Saccharomyces cerevisiae S288C: one gene and its partner. The protein of the gene in region 1 binds, or shares a complex with, the protein of each later gene. Each region holds a gene or a part of one and is shown on either strand. Other genes may lie near its edges. A codon is read from its position in the direction of its gene.

The links.
Region 2: the proteins of COX2 (region 1) and COX12 are in contact, whole or in part, in a cryo-EM structure (PDB 6T15), measured with the Saccharomyces cerevisiae proteins. Residues at the interface, in NP_009326.1 of Saccharomyces cerevisiae: Val110 (codon at 7,049), Ile111 (codon at 7,052), Ser112 (codon at 7,055), Pro113 (codon at 7,058), Ala114 (codon at 7,061), Met115, Thr116 (codon at 7,067), Lys118 (codon at 7,073), Ile120 (codon at 7,079), Tyr122 (codon at 7,085), Lys127 (codon at 7,100), Glu129 (codon at 7,106), Ser131 (codon at 7,112), Asp132 (codon at 7,115), Phe133 (codon at 7,118), Ile134 (codon at 7,121), Thr140 (codon at 7,139), Arg176 (codon at 7,247), Val178 (codon at 7,253), Thr180 (codon at 7,259), Val197 (codon at 7,310), Pro201 (codon at 7,322), Gly202 (codon at 7,325), Arg203 (codon at 7,328), Leu204 (codon at 7,331), Asn205 (codon at 7,334), Gln206 (codon at 7,337), Val207 (codon at 7,340), Leu241 (codon at 7,442), Phe244 (codon at 7,451); in NP_013139.1 of Saccharomyces cerevisiae: Ser7 (codon at 1,588), Pro8 (codon at 1,591), Leu9 (codon at 1,594), His10 (codon at 1,597), Thr11 (codon at 1,600), Val12 (codon at 1,603), Gly13 (codon at 1,606), Phe14 (codon at 1,609), Gln20 (codon at 1,627), Gln21 (codon at 1,630), Asn22 (codon at 1,633), Gln23 (codon at 1,636), Thr24 (codon at 1,639), Trp52 (codon at 1,723), Asn56 (codon at 1,735), Ala57 (codon at 1,738), Leu58 (codon at 1,741), Cys59 (codon at 1,744), Pro60 (codon at 1,747), Leu61 (codon at 1,750), Asp62 (codon at 1,753), Trp63 (codon at 1,756).

Annotation. Positions count from the first base shown.
Region 1 is NC_001224.1:67,037-77,892, forward strand, and holds COX2 (cytochrome c oxidase subunit 2), read left to right. Parts: upstream 1-6,721; coding exon 6,722-7,477; downstream 7,478-10,856. Other genes in the region: Q0255 (maturase-like protein), read left to right, coding at 7,459-8,586, 8,627-8,836, 8,868-8,948. UniProt on the Saccharomyces cerevisiae protein: Component of the cytochrome c oxidase, the last enzyme in the mitochondrial electron transport chain which drives oxidative phosphorylation.
Region 2 is NC_001144.5:216,584-226,741, reverse strand, and holds COX12 (cytochrome c oxidase subunit VIb), read left to right. Parts: upstream 1-1,569; coding exon 1,570-1,821; downstream 1,822-10,158. Other genes in the region: RIC1 (Ric1p), read left to right, coding at 1-1,316; seripauperin PAU23, read left to right, coding at 3,683-4,057; YLR036C (uncharacterized protein), read left to right, coding at 4,610-5,221; YLR035C-A (gag-pol fusion protein), read left to right, coding at 7,835-10,158. UniProt on the Saccharomyces cerevisiae protein: Component of the cytochrome c oxidase, the last enzyme in the mitochondrial electron transport chain which drives oxidative phosphorylation.

The DNA of each region.
Region 1 (10,856 bases):
AATATATATTATGTATAAACAATAGAGAATATTGTTTAATGGTAAAACAGTTGTCTTTTAAGCAACCCATGCTTGGTTCAACTCCAGCTATTCTCATAATATTATATATATATATTTCCCTTTCTAAAAATAATAATAATTATATATAATAATAATATAATTATATATATATATATTATAATAATAATAATAATAATAATAATAAATAATAATAATTATTTTTATTAATAATATTAATATATTATAATTATTAATAAATATTAATAAAAATAGCTCTCTTAGCTTAATGGTTAAAGCATAATACTTCTAATATTAATATTCCATGTTCAAATCATGGAGAGAGTAATTATATTATATTAATAATCCCCCCCCCATTTTTAATTAAATTAAGAAGTTTAATTTACTATTTAATAATAAATGAAATAATAATAATAGATATAAGTTAATTGGTAAACTGGATGTCTTCCAAACATTGAATGCGAGTTCGATTCTCGCTATCTATAATTAATATTAATATAAATTAATATCCTATAATTAATTAAATACAAAATTATATTAAAACTTATATTATATTATATTATAATATTATATTATTATTATATAAAAATATAATAATAATAATATTTAATTTTATTTAATAATAATATTTTATATAATAAAATAATCATATTTATAATATTTAATATTAATAATAATTTATTATAATAATTCTTTAATATACTTATTTATTATTATTTTAATAAATAAATATAATTCTTATAAATATATTATAACAAAATATATTATATTTTAATTAAATACAATATTATAAATATATATATATATATAAATATTTATATAAAAAAAAAATAAAAATATTTTAATAATTATTCTTTATAAATAAATAATGATAATAATAATTTATAATAATCTCCTTGTGGGGTTCCGGCTCCCGTGGCCGGGCCCCGGAACTATAATATATTTTAATATATTTTTTATTACTCCTCCTTTGGGGTCCGCCCCGCGGGGGCGGGGCGGACTATAATAATTTTTTATTGATAAAAAAGTATATATAATATAATTAATATATTTCTTTTTATATAAATTATAAATATTATTTTATAATAAAAAAAGTATATATAATATTATATATTTAATAAATAATATAATAATAATATAAATAAATATATATATATTATTAATATATTAAATTTTATAATAATAATTATAATAATAGTAGTAGGTATAAATTTTAATAAAGAGTTTTATTCCAATGGAGTAATAATAATAATAATAATAAAATAAAGGATCTGTAGCTTAATAGTAAAGTACCATTTTGTCATAATGGAGGATGTCAGTGCAAATCTGATTAGATTCGTATATTTATACTTAATATAAAAAAAATAAATAATAATCTTTTTTATTATTATATTTATTAATAATAAATTATTTTGTTATTATTATTAATTTATATTAATATTTTATATAAATTATTTATTTAATCTTTCATTATATATTTAATATATTATTAATATTAATTAATATTTTATAATAAATAAATAAAATAAAATAAATATTTTAATATAATACTCCTTCGGGGTTCGGTCCCCCTCCCATTAGTATAGTATAGGGAGGGGTCCCTCACTCCTTCGGGGTCCCCGCCGGGGCGGGGACTTATTTTTATATTTATTAATAATAATTAATTTTTATATAAATTTATTATTTCTTACAATATATTTATTACTATTATTTTTTAATAATCTTATATATAATATATAAAATATATATATATTATATATATATATAAATATAATATATATTATTATAAATATTTATAATCTTATTAATTAATTAGATTATATTATATTATATTAGATCATATTATATTATATTATATTATATTATATTATTATTATTAATATTTTTATTTTTATTTTATATTTAATAGTAAAAAATCATAATTTTATAATTTATTAATTATTATATAATTTCATTAATATATTTCTTCTTTTTATTTATTTATTTATTACTTATTAATAGTTCCGGGGCCCGGCCACGGGAGCCGGAACCCCGAAAGGAAAATAATATAAAAAATAATTATAATTTATTATAATTTATTAATTTATTAATTTATTAATTTATTTATTAATTTATTAATTTATTTATTATTATATTTTTTTTAATAAAGGAAAATTAACTATAGGTAAAGTGGATTATTTGCTAAGTAATTGAATTGTAAATTCTTATGAGTTCGAATCTCATATTTTCCGTATATATCTTTAATTTAATGGTAAAATATTAGAATACGAATCTAATTATATAGGTTCAAATCCTATAAGATATTATATTATATTATATAATATTATATATTAATAAATATTATTAATTAATTTATTTATTTATTTATTATTAAATAAAAATATTTAATAGTTCCGGGGCCCGGCCACGGGAGCCGGAACCCCGAAAGGAGAATAATATAAAATATTATAATTATTTATATATTAATTATTAATTATTTATTATTTATTATATAAAAAGTATATAATTTTATATTTTAATATAGGGTTAATTAATTAATTATTAATTTTTTATAATAAGATAATAATATATTAAAAACTTATTATAAATTTATAAAATAATATTTATTTACTTTGATATTATTTTTAATCTTTCATTAATATATATTTTATTATAAGTAATAATATAGTTTAATTTAATTAATATAAATAAATTACATAAGAATAATATTATAATAATATTATATATTATATAAAGAAATAATAATTTATATTTTTATTTTTTTTATAAATAATATAAATATAAATATAATGGGGTTATAGTTAAATTTGGTAGAACGACTGCGTTGCATGCATTTAATATGAGTTCAAGTCTCATTAACTCCAATAATTATATTATATAATATATATATTAATAAATTATATATATATATATATATATAAATATTAAATAAATATTATATTAATAAATAATATAAATTATCTAATCGAAGGAGATATTTATAATATAATATAAATATTTTAATAAATTAATAAATATTATATTAATAAATAATTAATAAATATATAAATTATAATAAATTTTAATATTATTATATAAATTAATTAAATATAATAATTAATGAAATAGAAACTATAATTCAATTGGTTAGAATAGTATTTTGATAAGGTACAAATATAGGTTCAATCCCTGTTAGTTTCATATTATATATCATTAATATATAAAATATAAATATATATATTATAATAATAATAATAATAAATATAAATATAATTATATATATATATATATATAAATAAATAATTATTTAATTTATAATAAATATATATAGTTCCCGCGAAGCGGGAACCCCATAAGGAGTTTTATTATTAATTATATTTAATAAATATTAATTATTAATTTTATATTTATAAATAAATTTATTACTCCTTCTTAATTAAGAATAAAAAGGGATGCGGTTCCCATGGGGTCCCGCACTCCTTCGGGGTCCGCCCCCTCCCCTGCGGGAGGGGAGCGGACTATTTTATTAAAAATATTATAATTAAATAATAATATAAATAATTTATAATATAATAATATATACTTATAAATAATATTTAAATCTTATTATTAATTTATAAATCATAAATTATTATTAATAAATATCTCTTTTAGATAAGATAAATTGAACTTATATTTATATTATATATATATAGATATAAATCTTAAATAGAGTAAATATATTATAATAATTATATAAATATATATATATTATATTAAGATAATAATATATATATATATTAATATATAAGGAGGGATTTTCAATGTTGGTAGTTGGAGTTGAGCTGTAAACTCAATGACTTAGGTCTTCATAGGTTCAATTCCTATTCCCTTCATAATTTATTATTAATTATATATTATTATAAATCAAATCCATTGAAATTAATATAATCCAATGAATAATTAATTTAATACATAATTTAATATATAAAATTATATATATATATACTTTATAAAAAAAAAAATTATATAATAATTATATTAATATATTTATATATATAAATAAATAAATAAATAATAATAATTATAATTATAATTATAATTAATTAATTAATAAATAAATAATAATTTATATTATCTTTATAATATATATATATACTTTTATAAAAAAAATATATAAATAATTCTAAAATGTATATTTCTCCTTTCGGGGTTCCGGCTCCCGTGGCCGGGCCCCGGAACTATTAATAAAATTAATAATAAAATAATTATTATCTGTATTTAATAAATTTAATTATAGAGTTATATTTCTATATATTTATATATTTATTTATTTATTCTCCTTCCGGAACTAATAAAATATATAAAATAAGGGTTTTTATTTATTTAATTAATATATATTTATTCTTTTATATAATATGTCCTTATAGCTTATCGGTTAAAGCATCTCACTGTTAATGAGAATAGATGGGTTCAATTCCTATTAAGGACGATAATAATATATATATATTTTAATTTATATATCATATATATATATATATTAAAGAAAATAATATAAAAAGTATGTATTAATAATAATAATAAATAAATAATAATAAATAATTTTATTATATTATATTATATTATATTTATTGATATATTTATTGATATTTATTAATTTAAGATTATTCATTAAATATATAATTATTAATAATTTAATATATTTTATAATTTTTATTATATTTTATGTAAGAAGAAACTATTTTATATATTATATATATATATATAATTTTTATAAAATGATAAATTTTATATTATAAATATTATTAAAATATTTTTATAAATATTTAAATTATTTATAAAAAGGTATATAATAATAATTATTAATATTATATTATATTATATATTTATTTATATTATATATAATAATATATTTATATATATATTAATTAATAAATTAAATAAGTATCTATATTTTATATTATATTATATTATTTTATTTTATTAATTCCGGAAGGAGAATAAAAAGTATTCTAAAGAAATTATATATTTATTATTTTTATTAATATGTTATAAATTAATAAAAAATAAATATGTATATATAAATTATATTTATTATGTTTAATTATTTATAATTTATTATAATATATAGTATAAGATATCTTATTTATATTTATATATAATAAAGAATATTATTAAACTAACACCTATATTATATATATTATATTATATAATATTATATATATATTAATTACTAAGAATAAATTTATAATTAGATAATATTTATATTTATTTATTTATTTAATTAACAAATATATTAATATTTTTAATTAATTAATAATACCTTTATATATATATATATATATATATTAATTTTAATTATATAATTATCTTTTTTATTAATAATTATAAATATATTATATATTTTATATAATAAGATTATAATTTTATAATTATTTTATTTTTTATTAAAAATTATTATTATTATAATTATTATATTATAATTATAAATTATTAAAGAATATATTTATTAATATTTTAATAATTAATATCTTTTATTTATATTTATAAAATAAGGTATAAATATTGATAATAAAGAGTAAATATTGTATTAATTATAATAATAATTATAATTAAGGAGCTTGTATAGTTTAATTGGTTAAAACATTTGTCTCATAAATAAATAATGTAAGGTTCAATTCCTTCTACAAGTAATAATGATTATAATATTTATATATATTAAAATAATATTAATAAATAATTACTCCTCCTAGCAGGATTCACATCTCCTTCGGCCGGACTCCTTCGGGGTCCGCCCCGCGGGGGCGGGCCGGACTATTTTATTATTATTAAATAGATGTTCATTAAATAATTATAAATATAATTTATCTTTTAAATATATATATATAATATAATATTTAAATATATATTATAAATAAATAAATAAATAATTAATTAATAAAAACATATAATGTATATTTATCTATAAAAAATATTAATTAAATTAATATATTATTACAGTTCCGGGGGCCGGCCACGGGAGCCGGAACCCCGAAGGAGATAAATAAATAAATAAATATAAATAATTCTTCTTCTTTAAAATTAAATAAAATAAAATAAAAAGGGGGGCGGACTCCTTCGGGGTCCCGCCCCCCTCCGCGGGGCGGACTATTTTATTTTTAAATATATATTATATTAATAATATAAATATAAGTCCCCGCCCCGGCGGGGACCCCGAAGGAGTATAAATAAAAATTAATAATATATTATATATATATTATATTAATAATAATAATAATAATAATAATAATAAATAATAACTCCTTGCTTCATACCTTTATAAATAAGGTAATCACTAATATATTATAATAATAAAAATTATATATATTATATATAATCTAAATATTATATATTTTAATAAATATTAATATATATGATATGAATATTATTAGTTTTTGGGAAGCGGGAATCCCGTAAGGAGTGAGGGACCCCTCCCTAACGGGAGGAGGACCGAAGGAGTTTTAGTATTTTTTTTTTTTTAATAAAATATATATTTATATGATTAATAATATTATATATATTATTTATAAAAATAATATATAATTTTAATTATTTTTAATAAAAAAAGGTGGGGTTGATAATATAATATAATATTTTTTATTTTAATTTATAATATATAATAATAAATTATAAATAAATTTTAATTAAAAGTAGTATTAACATATTATAAATAGACAAAAGAGTCTAAAGGTTAAGATTTATTAAAATGTTAGATTTATTAAGATTACAATTAACAACATTCATTATGAATGATGTACCAACACCTTATGCATGTTATTTTCAGGATTCAGCAACACCAAATCAAGAAGGTATTTTAGAATTACATGATAATATTATGTTTTATTTATTAGTTATTTTAGGTTTAGTATCTTGAATGTTATATACAATTGTTATAACATATTCAAAAAATCCTATTGCATATAAATATATTAAACATGGACAAACTATTGAAGTTATTTGAACAATTTTTCCAGCTGTAATTTTATTAATTATTGCTTTTCCTTCATTTATTTTATTATATTTATGTGATGAAGTTATTTCACCAGCTATAACTATTAAAGCTATTGGATATCAATGATATTGAAAATATGAATATTCAGATTTTATTAATGATAGTGGTGAAACTGTTGAATTTGAATCATATGTTATTCCTGATGAATTATTAGAAGAAGGTCAATTAAGATTATTAGATACTGATACTTCTATAGTTGTACCTGTAGATACACATATTAGATTCGTTGTAACAGCTGCTGATGTTATTCATGATTTTGCTATTCCAAGTTTAGGTATTAAAGTTGATGCTACTCCTGGTAGATTAAATCAAGTTTCTGCTTTAATTCAAAGAGAAGGTGTCTTCTATGGAGCATGTTCTGAGTTGTGTGGGACAGGTCATGCAAATATGCCAATTAAGATCGAAGCAGTATCATTACCTAAATTTTTGGAATGATTAAATGAACAATAATTAATATTTACTTATTATTAATATTTTTAATTATTAAAAATAATAATAATAATAATAATTATAATAATATTCTTAAATATAATAAAGATATAGATTTATATTCTATTCAATCACCTTATATTAAAAATATAAATATTATTAAAAGAGGTTATCATACTTCTTTAAATAATAAATTAATTATTGTTCAAAAAGATAATAAAAATAATAATAAGAATAATTTAGAAATAGATAATTTTTATAAATGATTAGTAGGATTTACAGATGGAGATGGTAGTTTTTATATTAAATTAAATGATAAAAAATATTTAAGATTTTTTTATGGTTTTAGAATACATATTGATGATAAAGCATGTTTAGAAAAGATTAGAAATATATTAAATATACCTTCTAATTTTGAAGAACTACTTAAAACAATTATATTAGTAAATTCACAAAAGAAATGGTTATATTCTAATATTGTAACTATTTTTGATAAGTATCCTTGTTTAACAATTAAATATTATAGTTATTATAAATGAAAAATAGCTATAATTAATAATTTAAATGGTATATCTTATAATAATAAAGATTTATTAAATATTAAAAATACAATTAATAATTATGAAGTTATACCTAATTTAAAAATTCCATATGATAAAATAAATGATTATTGAATTTTAGGTTTTATTGAAGCTGAAGGTTCATTTGATCTATCTCCAAAACGTAATATTTGTGGTTTTAATGTTTCACAACATAAACGTAGTATTAATACATTAAAAGCTATTAAATCTTATGTATTAAATAATTGAAAACCAATTGATAATACACCATTATTAATTAAAAATAAATTATTAAAAGATTGAGATTCATCTATTAAATTAACTAAACCTGATAAAAATGGAGTTATTAAATTAGAATTTAATAGAATAGATTTTTTATATTATGTTATTTTACCTAAATTATATTCATTAAAATGATATAGTCGTAAAGAAATTGATTTCCAATTATGAAAAACACTTATAGAAATCTATATAAAAGGTTTACATAATACACTTAAAGGTTCTAATTTATTAAAATTAATTAATAATAATATTAATAAAAAAAGATATTATTCTAATTATAATATTTCTCCTTTCGGGGTTCCGGCTCCCGTGGCCGGGCCCCGGAACTAAAAATATTATTGATGATGTATTAAATATAAATCTTATCTATAATTATAAATTACCATATCGTATAAATAGTGATATTCAACGTTTAAATTCTATAAATAATAATAATACTAAATTTATTAATGTTGGAGTATTTGTTTATGATTTAAATAATACATTAATTATAACATTTACTGGTTATAGACCAGCAGCTCTTTACTTTAATTGTTCTCCTTTTCGGGGTCCCGACTGGGGCCGGGACTAAACATGAAATTGCTAAATATATTAAAAATGGTAATGTATTTATAAATAAATATATTTTAAAAAATATTTTATTAGATTAATTATTATTTTTACTTCTTCTTAAAATTAAAAAAGGAGACTTTTTTATATTTATATAAATTATATATAAATTATTCTTTTATTATAAATATATAAAATTATTTTCTTTTAATTATTTTTATAATTAATTAATTCTTCATGGCTATAGCCATAACTTTTAATAATATTCTTTTATTCTTTATTATTATATATATATATATTTATTATTTATTATTATAGAATTTATATTTATAAAAATATTAATATTTTATTTAAAATAAATAATGATTAATTTATAAAATATATATTAATTAAGTTTCGGGTCCCGGCTACGGGACCCGGAACCCCCGAGAGGAGTTATTATATTTATAATTAAATCTTTAAATAATATATCTTAAATTATTATATTGATATTAATATTATATTGATATTAATATTAAATATATATTTAATATTTAGCTTATTATTTTATAAAATTATATTTATATATTATAATATAATTAAATATATTATAAATTTAATAATTTAATAAAAATATTCTTTTTATAATTATTATAATAATTAAATAAATAATAATAATAAGAATAATTAATGTATAATTTTTTTATAAATATTATATATTTTTATATTAATAGTTCCGGGGCCCGGCCACGGGAGCCGGAACCCCGAAAGGAGAAATATTAATAAAATAAAATAAAATTATAATATAATTAAATTATAAGAATTATATTTACTCCTTTTATAATTTATATTTATAATATAATATAATATAAAATAAATATAATATAATATAAAATAAATATAATGTAATAGGTATTCACTCCTCTTTGGGGTTCCGATCCCCCATACGGATACGGATACGGATACGAATACGGATACGGATACGGATACGGGGGGCCGTCCCCCAGAACTTAATATTATATCTTAAATAATTAATATAAATATAATATATTATTTAATAATAATAATAAATAAATAAATAAATAAATAAATAAATTAAATAAATAATAATATTATTATAATTACTTTTTAATAAATAATATTAATATAATATTATATTAGTATTATAAATAGACTTTTTATTATTTTATATATAATATAGTCCGGCCCGCCCCCGCGGGGCGGACCCCGAAGGAGTAATATATTATATAATTATTATTTTTAATTATAAATAAAATATAATTATTATTTATTATATAATTTATATAAATATATATATATATTTATTATATATATAAATATAAATATAAATATAATAATTAATAATATTAAAGTTTTATATATATTAATATATTATAAAAGGTTTATATATATATATAATAAGATAAGTAATAAATTAATTAATTAATAATATAAAAATATATATTATATATTATGTTTTATTTATATATATATATATATTATGTATTATTATATAAATATATATATATATTATATTATAAGTAATAATAAGTATTATATTATATATAGCTTTTATAGCTTAGTGGTAAAGCGATAAATTGAAGATTTATTTACATGTAGTTCGATTCTCATTAAGGGCAATAATAATAATATATTAATTAATAATTAATTTATAATAAATATATTATAATAATTAATATATATATATATAATATATTTAATACAAAGAAAATATATATTATATCTCTTATTTATTTATTTATTAATATTTTAATAAATATAATATTATAAAAAAAAGTTTATATATTTAGTTCCGGGGCCCGGCCACGGGAGCCGGAACCCCGGTAGGAGAAATATAAATATAAATATAAATATAATATAAGTTTGGTATTCATTTAATTATATTATTTAATTAAAAATATTCTAAATAAGAATAAATATCAATAAAGGAGTTATAAATATATATATATATTAATATATATATAAAAATATATATTATTATTAGTTCCCGCTTTGCGGGAACCCCGTAA
Region 2 (10,158 bases), on another chromosome or scaffold:
CAGATTATGTCATGTGGGAATACAATGTTCCAGAGAATACGATTGTTTTCAGTTTACATGTTAATACTTTATCCCGGTATAAGTTGTTGAAAATGAAATCCAAGAATCACAATGCTTCTGAAAAACAACCTGATGCATTGCTTAAAACTGCCGAGATTATTTTAGTTACTGATACACAGACAATTGTCTTCGATGTAATTTCTACTGTACATCCATGTGGATTAAACATCATCAAAAAATTCTACCAGTATCTCAAAATTAACATTCCAATTGATGTTTTACCCAACAAAATTGAGTGGATAATTAACATGAAGGAGGGCTTGTTATTTTTTGCCGATAGGAAATTTATAAAGCTTGGCAAAGTGGATGGAGGGGGCTGGCAAACCTTAACTTTGTTGGATAACATAGAAAAAATAATCGATGTTATCAGGGACGAAATATTTGTAGTTCAAGGCCATAATTACGTCGTATACTCTTTGGAAGATTTATGGGATGATAAAAAGCCACTAGTTTCCATTCCAATCGAAGAAGATTTGTATCCAATATCAACCACCCCAGAAACAGCTACAACACATACACTTCACTGCATTTTTAACGCGCGATTTTCCAAATTGGTGGTGAAACACCAAATATACCTCGACCAATTAATCTTAGCCAAATTAGAAGACAACACAGATTTGGAGGATATTTCACACAATTATCGTTTTTTAAAGCCTTACAAATTTGCACTCGAAAAGATTTTGTCTACTAAAATACTGCGAAGCGACTCTTTGGATGATATCCTGAAATTAATTAAGATGTATGACAACACCGATCCTGAGCATAATATTTCACCACCAACCCACAGTGGTATGTTAGAAATTATTAGTAATTGTTTAAGGAAGATCGAAACTAAATACTGGAACCATCTATTCACTAATCTAAAGATGACACCAAGAGATTTATTAGCACTCTGTATCGAAGAAAATGAGGCTAAAATGCTTGGCGTACTTCTGTTAGTGTTTTTAAATTACGATGAGAAAGATTTGGGAGATGATCTACATTTTAAGAAATCAGATTTAGGGACTGAGGAAAGCAAAGCTCTAAATGATAACTCTACAAAAAAGTCAGAGAAATCTGTCACTAATTTATTGAAGGATGAAGAATTAATGCTTAAAGTCTTAGAGCTTTTGGTGACAAGTGCTGCAAACGCCACAGACCCAATTAAAGCTACCGATTCGTGGGACATGTGTTTCCAATTAATACGCTTACTCAAGGAATTAGACAGAGAAAACAACACACAATTGGTTCAAAAAGCACTCGAGAGATTCAAATAAATCTATATGACACCATGTATTCTTTACCATATAGCTTCATAACATTGACCAATCAATTTTCAGAAATGCGTCGCGCGTAGTTTTGCCCGATATCCCCATCCCTTCAGGATCTTTAAAAGGTGATGAAAGATGCACCAGATAGAAAAGTTGCATTAAAATGATTAGCAGAGATATACAAATATTTTAGTAAGAATACATAAAGTATCTTTGCTTTCACAAATAGGAACAAGCACATAAATACAGTATAATAGACATGGCTGATCAAGAAAACTCTCCACTACATACAGTTGGTTTCGATGCTAGATTTCCCCAACAAAACCAAACAAAGCATTGTTGGCAATCTTATGTGGATTATCACAAGTGTGTTAATATGAAGGGCGAAGATTTTGCTCCGTGCAAGGTCTTTTGGAAGACCTATAACGCCTTATGTCCCCTAGACTGGATCGAAAAATGGGATGATCAAAGAGAAAAAGGTATTTTCGCAGGTGATATCAACTCAGACTAAGGATCTTAGTTTCGTTTTTAGTAATGTGCACTTAGCCTTTTTTATATCATTATTATTAATTACTAGAATTCATTTTTGCGTAGTAGACCTACACGGGATGAAGGATATCTATATGAAAAGTAAAGTAACAATAGGAGATAATGAAAAAGTGATATCATACGCTAACGAATGTTCATGATGGAGCCAAATTCCTAAAAATCAAACAAACAGAAAAAAATGAGAATGATGTGGGGTACTGAAGTTTTATTTTTCATATTTATTTTTAATTATAGTAAGTAGCCATTTCTATATATATTCAAAAATTATTTGACCCTCGTAACATCTGCCACTGCACTGAAAAGAACAAGGCAATGGATAACGCTGATAAAGACGTCAGCATGAACTTTCAATTCACTGAGATAGCAACATTTTCGAGGATTATATAAGGGGTACTAATCTCTTCTAGTCATCGTTTGAAATACATTCAGGCTGAGAAAGATAAACGCTGAACATGTTGAGAATAAGGCACTTCCTGGGACCTACTAAAAGATAATAATATAGTATTTGAAGAGACCTTCATCAACAGCCTGAGATCGGCACACATCCTTCACAAGCGCCCCAGTTCCAGACTGAAGTACACATTTCTATCTCTTACAGTCACTACTTGCGATTGCTACTACTAAACGAAATGATGGCTGATTTCTGAATGTCAATTCTTTACTTATTGTTCTATCAGGCTAGAAGGATAGTAACATAAACTTCTAAAGTACCTTTAAAGAGCCTCAATGCACTGCCTTAACAAGCAAATGACAATTTTCCTATCAATTGTTTCACGAAATACGTTTGTCGTAATTTTACGCATTACAGGTCAGAAGGAGACTAGATAAGGCCGATTCTCCGAGTACTGTTGAACCACAGGCTTCAGCAAGTGAAAACCAACAGACAAAACAAGGAAAACAGCAAGATTAACCGTTTATATTTGCTTCTACTACCTCAACGGAGAATGGAGCAGGCCTTTGAAAACGCTCCTACTTTTGAAATTGCCTTTGTAAATATTGTATCTCCAGCCGCGCTTAGCTAAGTGGATATCACTAGATTAAAAAACACTCTCGAGCTACCCTATGAAGACAAGATTCATCCATAAACTCCCTAAGTGGGTATCCATTAGATGCCAACTACTTCACTCATGCAATACATACAGCAATTGCAAGACTTGTGATTTTAATCCAAAAGAAACTTCCCTGGGTGTCATGAACCCAATCAATGGCCGTAACTCTTCGTATGGTCAGTTTATAACTCTCAATCACGTTTCCTCGCTCATACCCTAACAGGTACGACTCCTCTGATCATATAGAGGGATTTTAATGTTTCTGATTTGGGAAACATTCAATTTTTCTCCTGACAACCGTTTAGTGTCAAACATTGGATATTGCCCTCGTTCAGAGGGCACAGAATAAAATTTGATTTCTGGTTCATTTTCTTGGCCAAAGATTAATTGAAGTTGTCAAGGCATGCCAAAACTTCCTTTAAAGGTATCATCCCTGTACCGAACATTCCTGTGCTCCTGTATATATCATAATAAGATATAGGTAGTACAAAGGCGCGGATCCGTATACGAGATCTATAAAAAAAGCATTGTTGAAGAAAGGGCAACTGCATATTTGTAGTGGTGAAGAGTATGGGATAGGGGAGCCCAAGTAAGAGAAATATCAGCAGTGAAATAGCTATTCAACAATTTATCTGTTCGTCCGTCGCTTATTAAAAAACGGCATATAAATAGAGCAGCTTTGATTAACTCTTTCCGACAATTTGGCATTGTTATTTACATTCGAGTGAGCTCACATCTTCACTAAAAAGATCTACAAAAGTTCAATCGAAAAAAATGGTCAAACTAACTTCAATTGTTGCTGGTGTCGCTGCTATTGCTGCTGGTGTCGCTGCTGCCCCAGCCACCACTACTTTATCTCCCTCTGACGAAAGAGTTAACCTGGTCGAATTAGGTGTCTACGTCTCAGATATCAGAGCTCATTTGGCTGAATACTATATGTTCCAAGCTGCTCATCCAACTGAAACTTACCCAGTTGAAATTGCTGAAGCTGTTTTCAACTACGGTGATTTCACCACTATGTTGACTGGTATTCCCGCTGATCAAGTCACTAGAGTCATCACTGGTGTCCCATGGTACTCCACCAGATTGAGACCAGCTATCTCCAGCGCTCTATCCAAGGACGGTATCTACACTGCTGTTCCAAACTAAGCCGATGGCCTCACAATTGGTATTTAGCACTGGATTGCTTTACGAACGGATAAAAATAATTATGATTTGACGGTAAGAAATAATTAGATATACATACGTATACAAACATATATATGTATTACAGGTACTTTTAATCAGTTGCACTGTGTTCAAAAAGATATTTTTTAAATGCGGGGGGAGATTCAAGTTTTGTTCTCGCATTTAAATTTCTGCATACAATTTGTACTTACAAGAACCTTATACGATTCCAGTTGAGACACGTACTGATATATTAATGATCATATTAAGAATCTTAATGCTTAAAACTTCTCTTCAATTCAGCATTTGATCTGTGGCAAGTTAATCTTGTTCCATTTAACGTGGATTTGACTTGCCATGATCTTCCCATAAAGCGGTAAATAGCCTTTTTGGTAAAAAATTGAAAGTTTAAAAGTACGGAACAAACTTTCGAGTTTTTCCTCAAAGGCCCTTCACAACACACGAGAACTAAAAGGTAGTTAAGACAGGAACTTGCCGTTAAAGTTTACTTTCTCCTTCAAAGTATAGGAAATAATGAAAGAGGCAGAACTTAGTGCGACAGAAAGCCAAGATGAGATCCCAAAGTCTAATTCCTTATTAATTATAGAAAAATTAACAAAGGCCGTTTGTAGCCTTTATTTTATAAATTGTTTTATGGTGCCATCAGTAGATAATTTGATTGAAAAGTACCCAAAAGCAATCATCATTAAGATCATAGATATGATTCTGGGGGCGGTAACAATTTCCCTCGTTATTATAGTTTTCTTTTTATATCGAAAGAACGGTCATTTTAAAAATGAAAATAAAACAAAGCCAAAGAGATGTTCGAAGGTAGTATGTCCCAGCTGTGCTGCCAGAAAAAAGTATCCTAAATGGTTTCAGCTAAAGTATTTGTTATTGGTATCAATGACTGCTTTCAGCTTCTACTTTTGTACCAAAATTAGGTTTTTTTTTAAAACTGACCAAACTATTAATTTACACCGACTATCACAGCTATTTAGATTGCAGCTAGGCTGGATATGTACTACTGCATTATTATTCTATTTTTACGATGCGTTGATATTACATAGCGGGTTCATTGAAGGGTATAGATGTGTCAATGGAAAGGGAGCGATGTCTGAAGGTAAAACCGGGCAATTAAATTGAGGATTTTACCTAATATGTATTATTTTGGAATTAGCTTGAAATGTGAAGGTATCATTTTACTGTTGCATATTGGATAATTGGTAAAGTTACGCAAAGTATTCAATATCATCTTCTTGCATTACTCGACCATTGAGAATAATTTACTATATAGTTTGAATACGAGATTACACCTCGACAAAAGTAGTTCTATTATTTGCACGTAACAATTATCAGAAAATGGGTGAACTTCGTATTAATTGTTGGGATTTCGTTGTTGATATTAGGTATACAAAATATACTAGAAGTTCTCCTCAACAGTCTTGGAATTCACGAAAGGGAGTTGATAGTTCTGATAATAAAATCACTTTGTCTTCCTTTCTTTTATACTTTGTCATTCATTATTCTACTACATTATCAATTTGTTAGAATGAAACTCTAAAACATCATCTGTTTAGTAGTATTTGCGTTACTAGTCAATTATGATCGTTGACTCTTATTCTAACAGCTAGTAATATTACCCCCGTTACGTATGAAAGTGTTGGAATAAAAATCCACTATCGTCTATCAACTAATAGTTATATTATCAATATATTATCATATACGGTGTTAAGATGATGACATAAGTTATGAGAAGCTGTCATCGATGTTAGAGGAAGCTGAAACGCAAGGATTGATAATGTAATAGGATCAATGAATATAAACATATAAAACGGAATGAGGAATAATCGTAATATTAGTATGTAGAAATATAGATTCCATTTTGAGGATTCCTATATCCTCGAGGAGAACTTCTAGTATATTCTGTATACCTAATATTATAGCCTCTATCAACAATGGAATCCCAACAATTATCTAATTACCCACATATATCTCATGGTAGCGCCTGTGCTTCGGTTACTTCTAAGGAAGTCCACACAAATCAAGATCCGTTAGACGTTTCAGCTTCCAAAATTCAAGAATATGATAAGGCTTCCACTAAGGCTAACTCTCAACAGACAACAACACCTGCTTCATCAGCTGTTCCAGAGAACCCCCATCATGCCTCTCCTCAACCTGCTTCAGTACCACCTCCACAGAATGGGCCGTACCCACAGCAGTGCATGATGACCCAAAACCAAGCCAATCCATCTGGTTGGTCATTTTACGGACACCCATCTATGATTCCGTATACACCTTATCAAATGTCGCCTATGTACTTTCCACCTGGGCCACAATCACAGTTTCCGCAGTATCCATCATCAGTTGGAACGCCTCTGAGCACTCCATCACCTGAGTCAGGTAATACATTTACTGATTCATCCTCAGCGGACTCTGATATGACATCCACTAAAAAATATGTCAGACCACCACCAATGTTAACCTCACCTAATGATTTTCCAAATTGGGTTAAAACATACATCAAATTTTTACAAAACTCGAATCTCGGTGGTATTATTCCGACAGTAAACGGAAAACCCGTACGTCAGATCACTGATGATGAACTCACCTTCTTGTATAACACTTTTCAAATATTTGCTCCCTCTCAATTCCTACCTACCTGGGTCAAAGACATCCTATCCGTTGATTATACGGATATCATGAAAATTCTTTCCAAAAGTATTGAAAAAATGCAATCTGATACCCAAGAGGCAAACGACATTGTGACCCTGGCAAATTTGCAATATAATGGCAGTACACCTGCAGATGCATTTGAAACAAAAGTCACAAACATTATCGACAGACTGAACAATAATGGCATTCATATCAATAACAAGGTCGCATGCCAATTAATTATGAGAGGTCTATCTGGCGAATATAAATTTTTACGCTACACACGTCATCGACATCTAAATATGACAGTCGCTGAACTGTTCTTAGATATCCATGCTATTTATGAAGAACAACAGGGATCGAGAAACAGCAAACCTAATTACAGGAGAAATCCGAGTGATGAGAAGAATGATTCTCGCAGCTATACGAATACAACCAAACCCAAAGTTATAGCTCGGAATCCTCAAAAAACAAATAATTCGAAATCGAAAACAGCCAGGGCTCACAATGTATCCACATCTAATAACTCTCCCAGCACGGACAACGATTCCATCAGTAAATCAACTACTGAACCGATTCAATTGAACAATAAGCACGACCTTCATCTTAGGCCAGAAACTTACTGAATCTACAGTAAATCATACTAATCATTCTGATGATGAACTCCCTGGACACCTCCTTCTCGATTCAGGAGCATCACGAACCCTTATAAGATCTGCTCATCACATACACTCAGCATCATCTAATCCTGACATAAACGTAGTTGATGCTCAAAAAAGAAATATACCAATTAACGCTATTGGTGACCTACAATTTCACTTCCAGGACAACACCAAAACATCAATAAAGGTATTGCACACTCCTAACATAGCCTATGACTTACTCAGTTTGAATGAATTGGCTGCAGTAGATATCACAGCATGCTTTACCAAAAACGTCTTAGAACGGTCTGACGGCACTGTACTTGCACCTATCGTAAAATATGGAGACTTTTACTGGGTATCTAAAAAGTACTTGCTTCCATCAAATATCTCCGTACCCACCATCAATAATGTCCATACAAGTGAAAGTACACGCAAATATCCTTATCCTTTCATTCATCGAATGCTTGCGCATGCCAATGCACAGACAATTCGATACTCACTTAAAAATAACACCATCACGTATTTTAACGAATCAGATGTCGACTGGTCTAGTGCTATTGACTATCAATGTCCTGATTGTTTAATCGGCAAAAGCACCAAACACAGACATATCAAAGGTTCACGACTAAAATACCAAAATTCATACGAACCCTTTCAATACCTACATACTGACATATTTGGTCCAGTTCACAACCTACCAAAAAGTGCACCATCCTATTTCATCTCATTTACTGATGAGACAACAAAATTCCGTTGGGTTTATCCATTACACGACCGTCGCGAGGACTCTATCCTCGATGTTTTTACTACGATACTAGCTTTTATTAAAAACCAGTTTCAGGCCAGTGTCTTGGTTATACAAATGGACCGTGGTTCTGAGTATACTAACAGAACTCTCCATAAATTCCTTGAAAAAAATGGTATAACTCCATGCTATACAACCACAGCGGATTCCCGAGCACATGGAGTCGCTGAACGGCTCAACCGTACCTTATTAGATGACTGCCGTACTCAACTGCAATGTAGTGGTTTACCGAACCATTTATGGTTCTCTGCAATCGAATTTTCTACTATTGTGAGAAATTCACTAGCTTCACCTAAAAGCAAAAAATCTGCAAGACAACATGCTGGCTTGGCAGGACTTGATATCAGTACTTTGTTACCTTTCGGTCAACCTGTTATCGTCAATGATCACAACCCTAACTCCAAAATACATCCTCGTGGCATCCCAGGCTACGCTCTACATCCGTCTCGAAACTCTTATGGATATATCATCTATCTTCCATCCTTAAAGAAGACAGTAGATACAACTAACTATGTTATTCTTCAGGGCAAGGAATCCAGATTAGATCAATTCAATTACGACGCACTCACTTTCGATGAAGACTTAAACCGTTTAACTGCTTCATATCAATCGTTCATTGCGTCAAATGAGATCCAACAATCCGATGATCTTAACATAGAATCTGACCATGACTTCCAATCTGACATCGAACTACATCCTGAGCAACCGAGAAATGTCCTTTCAAAAGCTGTGAGTCCAACCGATTCCACACCTCCGTCAACTCATACTGAAGATTCGAAACGTGTTTCCAAAACCAATATTCGCGCACCCAGAGAAGTTGACCCCAACATATCTGAATCTAATATTCTTCCATCTAAGAAGAGATCTAGCACCCCCCAAATTTCCGATATCGAGAGTACCGGTTCGGGTGGTATGCATAGATTAGATGTTCCTTTACTTGCTCCCATGTCCCAATCTAACACACATGAGTCGTCGCACGCCAGTAAATCTAAAGATTTCAGACACTCAGACTCGTACAGTGACAATGAGACTAATCATACAAACGTACCAATATCCAGTACGGGTGGTACCAATAATAAAACTGTTCCGCAGACAAGCGAACAGGAGACTGAGAAAAGGATCATACACCGTTCACCTTCGATCGATACTTCCTCATCAGAAAGTAATTCACTACACCACGTCGTTCCTATCAAAACGTCAGATACCTGTCCTAAGGAGAATACAGAGGAATCTATTATCGCTGATCTTCCACTCCCCGATCTGCCTCCAGAACCTCCTACCGAATTATCAGACTCCTTTAAAGAACTCCCACCGATAAATTCTCATCAAACTAATTCCAGTTTGGGTGGTATTGGTGACTCTAATGCCTATACTACTATCAACAGTAAGAAAAGATCATTAGAAGATAATGAAACTGAAATTAAGGTATCACGAGACACATGGAATACTAAGAATATGCGTAGTTTAGAACCTCCGAGATCGAAGAAACGAATTCACCTGATTGCAGCTGTAAAAGCAGTAAAATCAATCAAACCAATACGAACTACCTTACGATACGATGAGGCAATCACCTATAATAAAGATATTAAAGAAAAAGAAAAATATATCCAGGCATACCACAAAGAAGTCAATCAACTGTTGAAGATGAAAACTTGGGACACTGACAGATATTATGACAGAAAAGAAATAGACCCCAAAAGAGTAATAAATTCAATGTTTATCTTTAACAGGAAACGTGGCGGTACTCATAAAGCTAGATTTGTTGCAAGAGGTGATATTCAACATCCTGACACTTACGACCCAGGCATGCAATCCAATACCGTACATCACTATGCATTAATGACATCCCTGTCACTTGCATCAGACAATAACTACTATATTACACAATTAGACATATCTTCGGCATATTTGTATGCAGACATCAAAGAAGAACTATACATAAGACCTCCACCACATTTAGGAATGAATGATAAGTTAAT